2 linked regions of the Nothobranchius furzeri genome follow. The protein of the gene in region 2 interacts with the protein of the main gene of each other region in a pairwise test. Links are inferred from orthologs where the notes say so. Each region holds a gene or a part of one and is shown on either strand. Other genes may lie near its edges. The genes, in order: pdlim7 and phf1.

Region 1 (3,827 bases), on a different chromosome or scaffold from region 2:
TTAAAGCAAGAATGTCTAAACTTTTAGAGATGAATGGCTAAAATTATTGAGTTATTGAGGAGTGTGTTCAGATGAAAGACCGTAGCGCATCTTTCCTGTTGGAGAAGTAAACACTGGTGAGTGACCCTTTATTTGCAATCTCATATCTGAAAGGGATATTGTTGAATTGAATTTAAATATTTGTATCTCCACTGTGTAGGTTAGTGCTGTTTTTGAGGTTTTTATAATATGGATCAAAGTCAGATTGCATGCATAAATTAGTTGCGTGTGTGTGTGTGTGTGTGTGTGTGTGTGTGTGTGTGTGTGTGTGTGCGTGCGCGTGTGTGTGTGTGTCATAGCTGTGGTGTTTTTGTGCCCCACCTATCAAATTATGCCAGAGACGCCACTGGGATGGTTTGACACCTAAATATTTCACACAGTTTCAATGAATTTGTCTCATTGCAGGATTGTGAATGTTCTTCATTTATCACTCAAATCTGACAGTGTAATGATTTCTACACCTATTTAGGTTTAAGATCTAAGAGGATCAATTCTTCACTATATATATATATATATATATATATATATATATATATTTTTTTTTTTTTTTTTGGTGAAGAGGGAGTCCACTTGAGCAGAAACCCAGCCACCATGTTTCTTCTCAACAGCAAAGGTTCTGCAGTGAGAAAAGTGATACACAAAAAGCATAAAAGTGGATAATGCTATAAGTCTTGAGTACAAAAAAGTCTGCAACGTGGAAGAAAGACGTTTGTGCTGAACTCTGAGGCTGGCAAAATGGGAGGTGTAGAGTTTGTCAGAGGGTGGGGAGGGATAAAAAGGAGGTGGAGGGAGAAGCGTTTCTTCCTCTGAAGATGTAGCTGGCTCTCTTACACTTGAGCGAAAGCATGGCCTTTGCACAGGGGCTTATCCTTTTTGGAGTAGAACGTCTTCCCCTCCAAGTTGATTTGGCAGAGCTTTAACGATGAAAAGAGACAGACAGAGAAACAGATTGAGAAACCAAGACTGAGCAGATATCAGGCTTCACCAGTGCCTACATGAATTTGCACAGTTTTCAGCAGACCAGACCTAGTCATTATTTATTTGGATTGTATTCACTCCTCACAGAGAAACAGGTGTACAGCAGGTAAGGGGTTAAAGGAGAAATGGAAGCTTGTGGTTCCCAGTACCAGGCAGGTTGTTCAGGTGTACTGCGACAGACACAAGAGATACAGGCCAAAGAGAGCCCAAAAGAAAGGATATTTATCAAAATGACTTACAGCACAGACGAAGCATGTGTCATGCCAGCTGTAGCCCAAGGCCTCCAGGAAACGATCACCGGCATCAATCTTGAAGTCGCATCCGTGGCATTTGGTGCCGAACATTTTTTCATAGTCTGCAGAGGAAATACAACCAGATTATTCACATTCAAAATCTGTTTTATCAAATGATCAGGTGGAGACGTCTCTGTGACCTCTGCTCACATCTGTTCCCTACAGGAAGTTCTGATGAACAGAATATGAAGCAGCCTGGACTTTGTGCAGTTAAAAGATGAAATCTCCCAACACAAAGCCACTCCAGTGCCCAAAATGAAGTGGTGATGAGGGATGAAGCTGCACTAATTTTGACAAGCTCCTCTAGCGGGGATGTGTGGAGTTCACTGTGCAGCAGCAGCTCCTTCCCACAGTTTAAGGGGAGGATTAGGACGAGGGGAAATTGCTCCTAATACTTGACTTGCTTTGCCGGACTCTTTCATCATGAGAACTCTGGGAAAGTGTTGGGTTATAATGCTCACTCTGAAGGGGGGGGGGGGGGGGGGGGGGGGGTGAGAGCTGTACAATCCCTTCAAGATGCTGAGGCAGCAAAATGTTTATCAGAGCTGAAGGCATTACTCAGAATATGAGGACTCGGGTTACTGGCTTCTGCTTTGATAAAGCAGCAGTTCACATCAGAGCCTCCACTCCTACCTCAAAAAATAAACAAATCATCTACAGTATAATGGAAGAGCACACACGCTATTCACAATAGCCAAAATAAATAATGTACGGAATAAACTGACTTTCGACACATTGCAGTAGATGAAAAACATGACACAGGCTCACAGCATGCATGCCCACAGCAATGCGGCAGACGTGTTTAACTACACTCTGAAATAACGGCAAGGCAGCTTCATTTATAGAGCACATTTAAAACAGAGGCAATTCAATGTGCTTTACAATTAGCAGGACATGATATAAAAACACAGATTAAAACACACACAGATAGAATTACAGTTTAGGGCTAAAGGAGAAGACAAAGTTACATGCAGGTTACAGTGGAGATGATGCAACATAAACAATGATTTCAAAATGCTGATGAGTGCATTAGGGTTTTAGTTTAGTTTTAAACAGCACTAGGGTTGGGGAAGATCTGAGGTCATGGGGAAGCTGATTCCATATGTGAGCAGCATAGTAGCTAAATGCATCTTCACCATGTTTGGTTCTGACCCGAGGTTCTACCAGCTGATTGTTCCCTAAGGATCTCAGAGCCCTATTGGGTGTGTACACAGAATGAGATCTGACATGTATTTTGGTCTGATGCCATTGAGTGATTATAAACTAGTAGGAGCACTTTGAAATATATTCTGTAGTTTACTGGTAACCAGTGTAGGGATCTAAGAACAGGAGTGATGTGCTCCGTTCTCTTAGTTCTTGTTAACACTCTAGCAGCAGCGTTCTGAACAAGCTGCGGTTGCTTTGCTGTAGTCTGACTAGAAATAAAAGCATGAATGAATTTCTCTAAGCCTGGTCTGCACATGAGACCTCTGACTCTTGATATTTGATGAAGGTGATAAAACGCTGATTTAGGTTTTGCCTCAATATGTCCAGAGAAGCTCAGGTCAGGGTGAATAATGACTCTAATCTGGGTTTTTGTCCTTATTCCCCTGGAGTCTAGCTAAGCAATAACATCCATTCTATCCTTCTTGTTAAAAGCCACATATTGATTTGAGCTACTTAGTTATGTGGGTTAATCAGCAACAAACCATTTACTTTCAGTTAACAAACCGTTATGAGAGGCTTATTTTGATAAAACTCTTAATTTATGTTAATGTTAGAATTGCAGCATGGTAATAAGCTTTCACTGACTGTAGTGAAATCCTCTGATGCATTCATGCTGCTCAGTACCAGAACAGTACTGATGTCACTAGTTACCAAAATAACCAATCATCTTGCAGAGCTGCTGTTGAGTGTGTGAGTGTACAGAACTTGCAAAACTATGTGACTCAATTTAAGGAACAAAGTTGAATCAAGCTGCTGTTACTTGTTTGTTATTGATGTTTATAGAAACTAAATATATCTGCAGGGCTTTAGGCTCAGGGCAGAGTTTTATACCTCAGACCGACTCACTTTAGATCCAGACCTGTTAATACTATTATCATGTATTCTTTACACCAATCAGAATATTCTGTAATGTTCACAGACATCCAAACCTTAGAAATGAAATAAAATCTACATTAAAATAAAAAATGATTACTATTATTTTTTATTAAAAGATTAGTTATTTGTGAATACTTTTTATATTTGATATTGTCCAGTTTAAGCAGACATCTGTTTATATCAGAGCTGAGCTGTGGGAGAAAATACTCAGGCTTATTTTATCGTATTTTCTATTATCTTTGGGTTTTGTGCATTCACTTAATATCAATTATAACATTATAAATAACAAGTCACTACAGTCTGGGCATAGAACGTGTTTCTATGAACTAAAGCTTGTTGGGTTAGGGTTAGCAGCAGCTCACCTCTTCCTATCACACTGACAGGAGAAATCCCCTCGTCAGCATCAGGCGGTCTATAGAGTGTCATGACTGAACC
Region 2 (3,827 bases):
CACTTTTTTTGCGGTCAATAGATCAATTTGATCTGCTAATTAAAAAGTTACTTGTGAGGTGAAAAAGAAGGAAGCAGGCAGGAGTTTTTCTGGAGGACTGTGGGGATGCAGGAAGATCAGAGACAGACAGGACAGGAAGATAGGAAAATAAAAACCAAGAAAACAAAACCAAACAAAGTTCTTAAAAAATAAAATGTAGGTCATTTATCCCACTACACATTTGTACCTGTATAAGGCAATAATTTATCAGCATGTAGTATTTATATAGTTGATACAATTCAGATCATCTTCAAAACTCCATCCCATGCCCAGGGACGTATCTAAGCATTTTGGGGGCCGAGGCAAAATAGACCCCTGCCAGGTATTTTAAGTTGAAGTGCTATCTGTTTTTATATTAAGACTTTTTAAATTTGCAATAAAGTCCAAAAGTGAAGAATTTATGTTATTTATTAATTGATTGTTCAAGCTACCTCACAGATTAAAATAAAAAGTGAATTAAATAAAAAATAAGGAACATTATGGAACTGTTTCTTCCTTTTCTTTATTTATTTATTTTTTATGTATCAAAAGTATCGGATCGGGACTCTGTATCGGCAGATTCTCAAAATCAAATGACTCGTACTCGTACTCGAGGGCAAAAATACCTGATCGGGGCATCCCTAGTTGTGTGTAATGAATCTAATATATATGAAAGTCTAATGTTTATCAGTACATTACAGACAATAATGAACTTTATCACAATATGCTAATTTTTTTTAGAAGGAACTGTACATAGGAATTTATAAATGAACAGTATAAAGTGAGAATAGTAATATAACAGTGCATTTTAATGCTGTTATCCAGCTAGAGGTGCACGTTCATGAACGAGAGGCATTGATTTTGGCTGTGAATACAAAAATGGTGAGAAAAAATGTGAGATACACTTGTGAGCCTCTAGATGGTGACACTGAGAAAAAAATACTCTGGGTTGTAGCTTTAATTGAAATGTAAGTGGACCTGGAAAATATGTTTTATAGGAATGCAAAAAATACATTTCTTGTTATTGTGAAAATAAATACCACATAAATATTTAAACAAAAGCATTCAGTAGTGAGCTGCAGTGAGCCACACTCAGGTATGTTGTATTTATTTATTTTTTTCCAGTGTTGTTAAAAAACATAAGATAAGAAATGATCACATATCAGTAATATTTCAAAACAAAGTGTTGTGGTTAACCTTCAGCTGGTGAAAAAAAATAAGAATAAATAATAATATTAGAGAACAAAGCAAAAACAACCTGTACAGACAGCCCTTACCACATGTTAAGCTCCTCCTCCGACTTCCTGGAGTTGTAAAGGTTGGCTCCTCCCATGTAGCCATGGCAACATGGCAGCAGCTCAACAGGGTTGGCAGTAACCGGGGGTTGACAGGTCTGGGCAGAGGGGAGACACAGGGATCAGCTGGTGTCTGAACCAACATCATCAGTCCCTCCAAAACTGTTACCTTTGTGCTCGCTCGAGTGTCAAGTTCAGGTTTTGGGGTATTTTGTGTTTTTTGTAAACTGTCCACAGCCCAAAGGGTTAGTGAGGAAGCTGCTGCTGACTCATACAAAGTAAAAGCATCACCTAGGAGGTGGTCACCACACAGCAGCACACCGAGCCACTTCTGTAGCATGGCGGTTATGATGGGAGATTATTAATCAGAGGCTTCGGTTTATGTCTGCACCTTTAAACAGAGACGTTCTGTCAGAGTAGCGCTGTCAAGGTGCCAGCGCCACCTGGCCAAAATGTAATTGACTGCAAAGTGCACTTGGAAGTGATCCCAGACTCCGCATATCAGCATTCTTACCCATCTCACTTTCCTCAGACCTACTCCTCCAAGACAGACTGAGATTAGCATCCGTCAGAGGAGAACAATGGAGCTTGGATGAGCCAAAGTGGAGAGAAAAACAGGAGCAGTGCAGAGCGTATTGTTCCAGGATTTCACTACGTGCACATACACAGATCAGAGCGATGTGTAGGAGGAACAAAGCACGACGAACGTTCACGCTTAAGAATGCAGAGTAAAAATAGTAACCAGCACATGTGAGACTGCTTGTTTCAGAGCCGTCCGCTGGGAATCGGCTCTGATGATGCTGATAAATGTGTCGTTGAATCGCAGGTGTTGCTGAAATACAAGAGCAGGTTTTAGCAAGATTGGATCTGAATTATACATTTTAGCGGAGCGCCACCACGTTTCTCAAAGCTACTTTTAATCTATTTGTGTTCTCTAACACATTAGCAGGCTTTAAGGTTCCTGCTGGGAGGAGAGAACAAACACAGAGGCAGCGGAGTGTGAAAGGAGCAGCAAGGCTGAAGGAGACGGCTCTGTGAGAATGACGGGTTATTTGGGTCACACAAGGATGTTTACCTGGGTGCATTTAAAAAAAATAAGAGGAAGAAAATGTAAGCCAGGAATAGTGGCCCAGACCCCCACCCCCCTCCTCCTGAGACAGAGGCGCTGACCTGTGTCTCCATGATGCGACGCTTTGATTTACGAGACTCCGGCCCTCCAACTCTTCTCTGGCAGGGTAGTGACAATGGGCTGAGGGGAGAAAACACACGCATACATTAGCAAACACCTTCCTCTCTGGATGGGTTTGATTTCTCATCATGGCTGCATGAGGGTCTGCTGATGGTGGTTCTAACATGTCAGGGTATTTCCTTTGATCTGTTGAGGGTCTGACCTCATGAGGAAATTACTATGCAGTGATTTTCTCCAAAATGACTGTGCTTAAATTGCTCTGAAAAGCAAATAATCACATCAGCGCCAAGAAACTTCATTTCCCATGATGCTTTGCACACGGAAGCATTGTGATGACGTCACCGCCTAGTACCAGAAACACGTTCTGCGCATGTGCGGGAAGCCGTGGAGTTTTCCCGCAAACTAAGACCATAAATCTTCAGCAGAGACAAAGAAACCTTGTTCTTTTGCCCAGGATACCTGGCGGTGAGGACACGCTTGTCGAACGCTCCGACTTCTTTGAGCACGCGGAAGCTCTAAGTGCCAAGTTGAGCCACGGAACTGCTGGAAACTAAACTGCAAGCCCATCAGATCTGCTCGTTTCTGCTCCCCTCCAGCTGATGTTTGAGGACACAGAACTGCGGAGGGAAACAACAACTCCATCCAGCTCTCAGAAACGCTGTAAGTTGTCAAACTCAGCCCAAAAGGAACTTCGTTTTCTTTGTGTCCAGCCGTGGAGAAACACTCGTGGAGCCAAACAACGGAGAAAGCATCAAACCGGCGGATGACGCTGAAAGCTGCGGAGAAACACGGAGAACCGTCAAATCAAAACAGTGAGGGACGCTTCACTGTTCTGGTGATCAGAAACTCATCTCTTTCTCTCATTCTTTCCTTCTCCCGTTTCCTCTATAGTCTCGAATAAGCAATAAACCGCGTCTATTGCTTAAAAGTAGCTTCGTGTTTTCCTCTTTCGTCCCAAACACGTCCGTCGGGTCATTTTGAAGAATAAACTGCTTATTGATCATTGTTTGGTATCTTAAAATGGTTTCTGTCATGGCCAGGCTGAAACTAAAAGATATTAATTTGTGATTAATCTTTTGTGTTGTTTCATGATCTTTTGAAATGTTTTGAGTGATTTAAGGTTAAGTTACTACTGATTCTAAGTGCTTTGGAAGTTAAAGTGCAAGTTGCCACCCACACTTTAGCCAGACAAAGGGGTCAGCCATCTTGTATTCAAGACTCCATTTTGAATCCATACACACGCACACACACACACATACACACTACTCCTTTGTGAGAACAAAGGACCCCATTCATACATCCTCCATCACATGCAAACACATCCA

What was found.
Region 1: the proteins of phf1 (region 2) and pdlim7 interact in binary tests that used the Homo sapiens proteins (3 or more experiments, as listed by UniProt). The two-hybrid records come from large-scale screens. The link is inferred for Nothobranchius furzeri from reciprocal best matches to the Homo sapiens genes PHF1 and PDLIM7.

The regions. Positions count from the first base shown.
Region 1 is NC_091741.1:103,108,835-103,112,661, forward strand, and holds part of pdlim7 (PDZ and LIM domain protein 7), read right to left. Parts: intron 1,373-3,827; coding exon 1,257-1,372; intron 954-1,256; coding exon 867-953; 3' UTR 1-866. UniProt on the Homo sapiens protein: May function as a scaffold on which the coordinated assembly of proteins can occur. May play a role as an adapter that, via its PDZ domain, localizes LIM-binding proteins to actin filaments of both skeletal muscle and nonmuscle tissues.
Region 2 is NC_091745.1:62,283,355-62,287,181, forward strand, and holds part of phf1 (PHD finger protein 1), read right to left. Parts: intron 2,563-3,827; coding exon 2,484-2,562; intron 1,412-2,483; coding exon 1,296-1,411; intron 1-1,295. UniProt on the Homo sapiens protein: Polycomb group (PcG) that specifically binds histone H3 trimethylated at 'Lys-36' (H3K36me3) and recruits the PRC2 complex. Involved in DNA damage response and is recruited at double-strand breaks (DSBs).